2 linked regions of the Macaca mulatta genome follow. The protein of the gene in region 1 purifies or fractionates together with the protein of each later gene. This does not show direct contact. Links are inferred from orthologs where the notes say so. Each region holds a gene or a part of one and is shown on either strand. Other genes may lie near its edges. The genes, in order: KLC2 and KIF5A.

Region 1 (4,344 bases):
GAGGTGGAAGCTGCAGTGAACGGACACTGCACCACTATACTCCAGCCTGGGTAACACAGTGAGACTCTGTCTCAAATATAAATAAATGAAAATAAAAAATTTTTTCATAGATACGGGGTCTCATGAACTCCTGGATTTAAGCAATCTTCCTACCTGGGCCTCCCAAAGTGCTGGAATTACAGGCGTGAGCCACCACACCTGGCCTCCACCCTTTCCTGGTCCTTCACGGTCCAGGGTCATTTCTGCAGTGGTGTCTCCAGCTAGTCACACCTCCCACTCTGCTCCAGCTTCACTCATGGCCTTGATGCCCATGCCCTCCATGCAGACTGTTCCCCCTCTGTGAGAGTGCATGTGCTCCACCAGGTGTGGGACCCCTGACTGGTCCTCTCTGCCTGTGATGGCCAACTGGCAGAGGAGTGAATGTCCTTGCAGAGGGCCAGGCCGTCTGAGACCCTGTACTTTACAGTTGGTTAGCAAATGCCTAAGTGACAGGTGTTTCCATAACCACTAGCTTAAAAAAAAAAATTCCCCCAACAGCCTGGAAGTATACACAGCAGATGGCATGATCCCTATTTTAAAGAAAAGGAAACCAAGATGATACAACCTCCCCAGGGTTCACGTGCCAGGCAGGGGTTCAGCCAAGCTCTGAGGAGAATAAAACAAGTCTAACTCCTTGCACATCCCAATGGCTCCTGGACATCTCCAATTGCATATCATCCTGGCAGCCTCAACTAAAGGGGGCCAAAACAGAGTTCTGATCCACCCAGGCCCTCTCCTCCCTAATGTGCTTAAATCACAAACCTGGGAGTGATGCTGCCTTCCTCTCTCTCCCTTATTCCACCCTGGGTCTTCCTGGACCTACCTCCAGAACATCCAGAACTGGTCCCTTTTCTCCACCATCATAGCCACCCCTTAATTCCAAGCACCAGCTCTGATTTGAATTCCAGCAGTGGCTTCCTAACCACTCACTGGAGAGTGATTGCATCCTCGACCCACTGAGATTTATTCTCCACATCTCAGCCAGAGAGAGTTTTTAGAAATTCAAGTCAGACTGTGTTGCCTGTCTGCTTAAAGCCCTCCAGAGGCTTTCTGACTTCCTGAGGATAAAACCCACACTAACGAGGCCATGATCTGGCTCTTGGCTTCTCCCCAGGCCTCTTCTGTCCCTCTCTCCCTTCCATGAAGCTCCAGTCACACAGTTCTTCCCCGAGTTCCTCCACCACAACTCCTACCCCAGGACCTTTGCACATGCAACTTCTCCCCTGCCTCCCTTTCCTGGAGACTGGTTCATTTCTTCCCTCAGGTTTCAGTTTGTCATTTCCTCACAGAAATCCTGCCTGACCAGTAGACAAGACTCACTGCTGTGAGCTATCATAAAATCTTGTTCTTTTCTTTGTAGAACTCATCACAATTTGTAACAACCAATTATTTCCGTATGTGTGCTTTTGTCTCTTTTCCAAATAGGGCAGGAATCCTGTCTATTTTGTTGGGTCCTGTATCCACCTAACGGCCTGGCTGGCACTGAAAAACTCATCTGTTAACGAATGAATAGAAGAATAAATCGGTGGGAGGCTGTGTTTCCTTAAGGATTTTCTTTCTGTTCTCATATGCCATCCAGTCTCCCTTAGGTAGAGGGGAGCTGGGAATGGGGCTCTGCGTGGGGGCGAGGGTGATCATGGTCTCTTAGGGCAGGGCTGGGGTCGCCAAAGTGCATTTATTTCTTCAAAAGGTATTTACTGGGGTCCTAACACGGGGCTCCAGGAAACAGAAGATTCCTTGCTCATATTCTTCTCCTAGATTACTGGATTTCTCTGGAAGGCTCGATCCCTCCAGTGACCGCCCACCTCAGTACCCTAGACTGACCTACCTGGGCCTCCCCCAGCCCAAGCTCAATGGCTTCCAGGGAGCGACGCAAGAGGATGCAGCGCTCCTGCGAGCCAGGCTCGGCTTCGCTGGCCTCAGGCGCAACCAGAGGAGCCAGCAGGGCACGATGCTCCCCACGCAGAGTCTCCAGTCCCTGGATGACGGCCTTGGTGCCCAGCACGATCTCATCCTGGCTCAGCTTCTCCTCCCGCGGAAGCACCATCATGGCCATGGTTGTGGCGTCTGTGAGGACGAGGGTGCGGGCAGGCGGGCGCCGGGCCTGGGGCCACACCGCCCCAGATTAGGTAAACACAGGCGGTCCCCGGACGCCTGGTCCCGTGTGCCCAGGTCCCCCAGCCGGCAACCCGTACCTTGCCCACGCTTGGCCTACAGAGGGCGCGCCCGGCTCGTCTTGGCCAGGGAGACGCAATGCGGTGCGGCCGGACCCTGCTTCGGCCCCAGACCACCGGCTTAGGCCGACTTAGGCGGCCCAGTGTCTGGGTTTCCCCGGGGACCCCCTAACCAGGACAGGTATGGGGAACGTGGGGGCTCTCTCCTGTGCAGGAGACCCTGGTCCCTCCGGCGATCCGGGCCCAGCCCCTCGGACAGCCCCATCCCCAACCGGCAGGCCACGCCGCGGAGCCCATCCTCCCGACGGGCCGACCCTGCGGAGGCCATCTCCCTACAGGGGCTGAGACCGCGGCCCTCAGTCCTTCCAGGTTGTGCCCACTACGACCCCTCCCCTGGGCCAGCGCAACGTCCTGCGGCCTCCCCTAAAAAGGCCGCGCCCCTGCCCTGGGCCACCCGGGACCGCGCCCCCTACCAGGGCTGGTCAGATCCTCCCACAGGCCGCGCCCACGACGACCCCCTCCCCTAGGCCGACCTGGAGCCTCCCCCTGCTTTAGGGCCTGATCCCGTCTCCCGGCCCAATCGGCCCGCGCCGACCTGCGCCTGGTGCTCGGGCCAGGCTCCGGCTCCGGCTGCCTCCCGCTTCACCCGGACCCGCAGCCGCGAGCCGGTCCCGCCGCCTCCATCCCGCCGGCCTTCCCAGCAGCCCCCGCGCCGCCTTAAAGGTGAAGCCGCTACCTCGGTGGCGTCGGAGGGGGCGAAACACGCTTCTCACGGCCAGCTCGCTGCCTTAAAGGAGCGCGGGCCGGGCCGGCTCCAGCGGGAGGGGGACGGGGCGGGGCCATCGAGGCGGGGGCGGGGCGAGGACCCGCCCGGGGCGCAGTTTCCAGGGGCCCGCCAGCCCCGAGGGGTGCCCTCGGCCTCAAAATGGCCCGGGTCCTCAGGGTGTGGAGCTGCTCGGGAGATTGAACCCTAAGGTACCTAGTGTGGCGCCATCGAGGACGGCGGGAGAAACTGAGGCGCAGGGAGAAGGTTGGGCTTCCCGGAGTACAGAGCGAGGCATTTGCCACTAATTGAGCGCCTACTGCGTGTTGCGCGCCTTGGTGCCCTGGGTTCATTGACTTAATGCTCACGAAGACCCGAGAAGTGAATGCCGCTGTTACCTGGCTCTCAGATCTGACCCCGGGCTTCGCATCCCGGGGTCACATCTGGTGGGGGACGCACCATCTCTGACAGAGGTGGTTCAGCGCCCTTAGCTCAAGCACATCCGGTGACAGGGAGCTTACTACGTTCGGCTCTGAGACAACTCCAAAGGTTAGCAAAATTTTCCTTGTATAGACCTCGAAGTGCCTTCCTGCAGTGCTCATCCACAGCCCTAGCTCTGTCTTCAGAAAGAAAGCTGCTCCCTTATGTCAGTTAAGGTATTTGGAGACAGCGATGGTGCCCCGCGTGGTCTCATCTCTTCCCCGGGCTGCTCCTGGTCCTTTCGCTCAGTCCTACCGCAGTTTCCTGACCCTTCCCCATCCCAATTTCTCCTTTCTGGGTGTAGTCTAGCTTGTCGGTCCTGCTCAGAAGGTGGTGCTCAGCCCAGGGCCCAGTGATCAGAGACGAGGAATGAACTGCGCAGATCAGAGGGACGGTACCCCCAGGATGCCACCTGTCCACAAAAAAAGCCGCAAACCAGGCTGCCTTTTACACAAGTGAAGACCCTCTATTTTACACATCTCAGTTACATCCAACCAGGTTCTTCTCAAACCTGTTCTCTGCCAATGATTTTTTTTTAAGAGAGGTTCTGGGCCGGGCGCGGTGGCTCAAGCCTGTAATCCCAGCACTTTGGGAGGCCGAGGCGGGCGGATCACAAGGTCAGGAGATCGAGACCACAGTGAAACCCCGTCTCTACTAAAAATACAAAAAATTAGCCGGGCGCGGTGGCGGGCGCCTGTAGTCCCAGCTACTCAGGAGGCTGAGGCAGGAGAATGGCGGGAACCCGGGAGGCGGAGCTTGCAGTGAGCCGAGATCGCGCCACTGCACTCCAGCCTGGGCAACAGCGTAAGACTCCGTCTCAAAAAAAAAAAAAAAAAAAGAGAGGTTCTGGTCCAGGCGCGGTGGCTCACGCCTGTAGCCCCAGCACTT
Region 2 (4,311 bases), on another chromosome or scaffold:
TTATTCTCCTACCCTCTAACAAGCAGAACAAAGCCCATGAACAGAAGGGACTCTGAAGCTCAGCGCTAGCCGCAGTGCTGCAGAGGCGAAGGGGAGAGCAGTCACAGGAAGGAGTAGGGGCTGCACTGGGAAAGATTATCTCTCCCACCTTCACTCTTCCCCAACCTTCCCAGACATCCTGAAGCAGCCTCCTCCATTAATTCCTAAGCCAGCTCCCAACCCGGTGGGCTCCAAAGAGAGCTAGAGGAGAAAAGAGAAAAAGGAGTAGGAGTTTCCTTCCCTTATTGGGACCCTCAAGGGTCTCCTAAAAATCATGCCCCCTGTAGCCCTCATTCCCTAAATGATGAATGAATATTAAGTCTGAAAAAGCAAACTCTAAAGATGTTGCCTGAGACAAAATGGCCCCCCATAAGCATTTATCTTCAAATGAGAGACTGACAGGGAGGGCTAGGGTGAGGGAAGATACAAGCGAACGAGACAAAGATACAGCCCTACAGATACCAGGCAAAACAGACAAGGAAGATCCAGCAGTGGAGCTGAGATGGAATCTGAATTGGCAGGGGGCCTTGGGCTTCTTTTCATCTCTCCTCCTTGCCCACCTCCCACTGTGTGTCTCTCCTGTTTAGCTGGGCTAACAATAGATCGACACCACACCCCTCTTCCCAACATCACCCCCTGCCCCATCCCACTACACCAGGATGGCCCAGAGAGCCTAAAGGAGTTGGTTCAGACTTACTGGAAAAACCTTCCAGAGCATGGAAATAGGGCCTAAAAGTTTTGCCCCCCATCATCACCCCCACCCTGTTTGTCAGCCTTTATGTCTCAAGGGGATCTTAAGCTCCAACTCTCACAACTAATGCTGGCTCTCTAGGACACTCTGAGAGGGGTCCTCCCGAGTTGATCCAGGAGTTGTTTGGTGGTTGTTTTGTTTTGTTTTGTTTTTAGCCCAGTCAGACTGAACAGTCTGCAGGGCCAGAGAGGTCCCTGAAGCAAAAAGAAACAGAGGCCCTCTCCATGTGACAAATACACACACACACACACACACACACACAGAGAGAGACAGGGAAAGAGAGAGAGAGAGAGAGAAAGAGAGAGAGAGAGAGAGACAAAAGCATCCATTTGAGTTAACAGTGTGGGTAAGGGTGCAAGGTGGTGACAGACTGGGGCCCTTGGAGACTAGTAAGCAGGTCTCCCCCGAGGCATGTTTATTCAAAGTCCCATTCTCACTGACTCAGAAGTCCCAGGCTTCCTCCCCTTCTTTCTTTCATTCCTTTAACAAGCATGTTTCCAGGTGCTCTGTGCCAAGCACTGTGGATAAAGATACCTAAGAAGCACCTCTGACCTTGACTGCCCTCGTACATGCCCCTCCCTTCTCAAGCTAGTTTTCGTTTCCTGGCCCAGCACCCCTCAAGTCCTACAGGACTCAACCCCAGGTCTTTTCTCCCCACACAGCCTGAGGTCCCTACCAACCTCAGGGGGGAGTGGGCAAGGCCTAGAATTTCCCTTTGGGCCATTACAGATAAAGGTGCAGAACAGAAACCTGGGTAGGCAATGTGATAGGAAGAGATGGGAGGTTTGCAGTCACAGATTTAGGTTCAGATCCATGGATTAATAGCATGACCTTGAGAAAGTTATTCAAGTTCTTTGGGCCTCAATTTCTGCATCTGTAAAATGGAAATATTGATACTACTTTCGAATGCTGTGTCGGGGGTTAAATAATATACATAGAGTAACAGGCCCACTGTAAATATTAGTTCCCTTAAGATATCCTCCTTGGGTAGGGCTGTCATGATGAGGTAGAGCTGGACGGCTACTTTCTCTTGGATCCTCAAGAGAAAGGATGAATAAGCAAGTACTTACTAGGATCTCAGGGTTTGGGCATTTTTCTTTCAGGGGGTCAGTTGGGGAATCTGAAACCCTCTTCCTACTGTAACTGGGAACGAAAGGCAGACCTGACCTTAGGATTCTAGAGGCTCCCCCCAAGATTGGGTGTGGCATCAATGATTTCTTTCCCGGTAAACCCTGCATCAGACCTGTTCCCCCCAACACACACACAAAAATCCAGGCTATAACTACTTTAGGGAATGATGGAAGGTTTGGTCTTAGAGCCCACTTCCATCCACACTCTGCAGAGACCCTGGGCTGCTTACCTCCCCTCTAGTCCACCCAAAAGTCTTCCCACTTACCTTCTTGGGAGGTGGGGGTAGAGATCTGAGCCAATAACAAAGGGAAGATGCGCTTTCTCTTGGTTGGGGGGGAGGGTGGAGAAGGGGAAAACATCAGAAAAACATGGAACTGGTTCTAACGGGTGGAGACGCTGCAGACAGCAGCAAAGGGGAGATGAGTCTCCCGAAGGTAGGAAAGCAGCCCCCTGCCACTCTGCAGAGACTCAGCCGCTGGCCTGGTCAGGCCACACCCAGCCATCCTGATGCAGGGGAGAGGAGGGGCTGCGGGGAAGAGGATGAAGGATGAGCGGCGGGGAGCGGGCGCAGAGGGACCCGCAGAGACTAAGGTTCTGCGGGAGGCGGGGAGATTTAGCCACCCGCCCCCTCCCCGAATTCCCTCCTGGGCGACACTCACCCCAATAACGACGCTGTCGTCCCCTTGGAAAATGGGGATGAACTTGTCTCCCCGCAGAATCTCAGCCTGGTTTAGCGGCCGGAATCGGCAGAGCACCTTGATGCTACATTCGTTGTTGGTCTCCGCCATGGTGGTCGCCGGCGTGGAGCTGGAACACTTCTTGGGCTGCAGGGGTGGTGTGTGCTCCAGAGAAGAGGGCTCTCAGCTAAGGCTGAGGCGGAGGACAGGTGCTCAGTCTCTGGGGGCAGAGTTGAGGGCGCCCGGGCGAAGCCTGGGGAGCAGGGCCGGGGCGCGCTCTCTCTCTCCTGCGGCAGCGGGATGCGGGAGACCTGGGCGTCTGGTCCTCTCGGGCGCTCTGCCTCTCCGCCCCTCGCGCTGCAGCGCCGCGCTGCGGGCCTGGGCGGGGCCGCGATGGAGGAGCCGGGGCGGGGCTCCCTCAGCTGGGGAGGCTGGCTCGACGTCGACCCCCGAAGGCTGGAACCTCACTGCTCCTCTGCTTCCTCCCCCATCCCTAACGTTCGGAGATAACCTTGCCCTCTACCCTTCCCCACCCAACTCACTGCATCCCACCCCTATACCCTCGATCTGTTTGTCCCTCCCTCAGACTCCACCCCCTGGAAGGGATAAGGGGACCGAGGTGGGCCTGTCGCCTGTGTAGCGAAAAGGGTCAAACAGATCTCCCACTCCCTCTATTCCAGGGCATCCCCCAACCCGTCACTAGCCTCTCTCCAAACTGGGATCACACTTCTCATTCTCCCCCTACGCCCATCCCATGCCCCACACGCACGGAAGCTGGACTCCCAACCCACTCAGCTTTCTGGGGGATCGCTGCCTGTACTCCTATGGAGGTGGGTGTCAGGGAGGAGTGTCATGGGAGGTTTTCGCTACTCCCTTCCCCTTCCACATCCAAAGGTGCACTCTACTGTCTCCCCAACGTACACAGCAGGTCCCCAGTTTCAGGGAAGATAAACTCCCATTCTGGGTTATGGGAATTCAAAAGCAGACACAATACTTATTTTTGTGTCCTAGGTTGAGGATGGGATGATGATGGGTAGGAAACATTTTTGCAAGAGAAAGGGAGTCAGAAAGCAGTGAAGGAGGGGCAATGATGGGGATGGGGAAGGCCAGAGAGACTTTGAAGTCTAAGGCAAACACCTGCATTTGGGTTTCAGGCAAATTCAGGTACCTATGGGAGTGTGTGTTTCCCGTCTCAGTAACCATTGGAGGATACAGTCCCAATACTTCAGCCCCCTTCCCTGGCCAAAAAAAGAAAAAAAAGGTGTGGGGGAAGAAGAACGAAAGAAATGCCAAACCCCAGAGATTCCTTGTCCTTTCTCCCTTTGGGTCAGACTCCTGCTGCAGCCCCTGGAAAGAACCACCAAGAAGCTGGCCAAATTGATTTTTCTCCACGTCACAGGCCTCTGCTAGCCAACAGAGAGTTGGACTGCAGGAGTTGAGGTTCTAGGCAAAGGGGAAGGGCAGGGTGGATGGGACAAGGAGAAGGAAAGGAAAATTCAGCTCAGCAATTGTCTCATGAGTGGTTAAGGTCACTTAGACACTATGGGACAAAAGCAAGAGGCTGATAGCCTGGCCAGACAAGACCTAACTACTCAGAACTCAGGGGGCTTCCCACATTGGGGCTACACCTCTAACCCACCTTGAATCTTAAGGGAACTGAAAGAAAAGAGTCCAACATAATGAATGGGACAGAAAAGTGGTAGGACTATGGAG

Evidence for each region.
Region 2: the proteins of KLC2 (region 1) and KIF5A purify together in Homo sapiens (affinity purification with western blotting; 3 studies listed by BioGRID and IntAct, with this or other methods). This does not show direct contact. The link is inferred for Macaca mulatta from reciprocal best matches to the Homo sapiens genes KLC2 and KIF5A.

What each region holds. Positions count from the first base shown.
Region 1 is NC_133419.1:8,156,240-8,160,583, forward strand, and holds the start of KLC2 (kinesin light chain 2), read right to left. Parts: upstream 2,825-4,344; 5' UTR 2,809-2,824; exon of another isoform or gene 2,747-2,808; intron 2,382-2,746; exon of another isoform or gene 2,235-2,381; intron 2,144-2,234; 5' UTR 2,096-2,143; coding exon 1,868-2,095; exon of another isoform or gene 1,821-1,867; intron 1,587-1,820; exon of another isoform or gene 1,465-1,586; intron 112-1,464; exon of another isoform or gene 1-111. UniProt on the Homo sapiens protein: Kinesin is a microtubule-associated force-producing protein that plays a role in organelle transport. The light chain functions in coupling of cargo to the heavy chain or in the modulation of its ATPase activity.
Region 2 is NC_133416.1:64,717,087-64,721,397, reverse strand, and holds the start of KIF5A (kinesin heavy chain), read right to left. Parts: upstream 2,938-4,311; 5' UTR 2,710-2,937; coding exon 2,581-2,709; intron 1-2,580. UniProt on the Homo sapiens protein: Microtubule-dependent motor required for slow axonal transport of neurofilament proteins (NFH, NFM and NFL). Can induce formation of neurite-like membrane protrusions in non-neuronal cells in a ZFYVE27-dependent manner.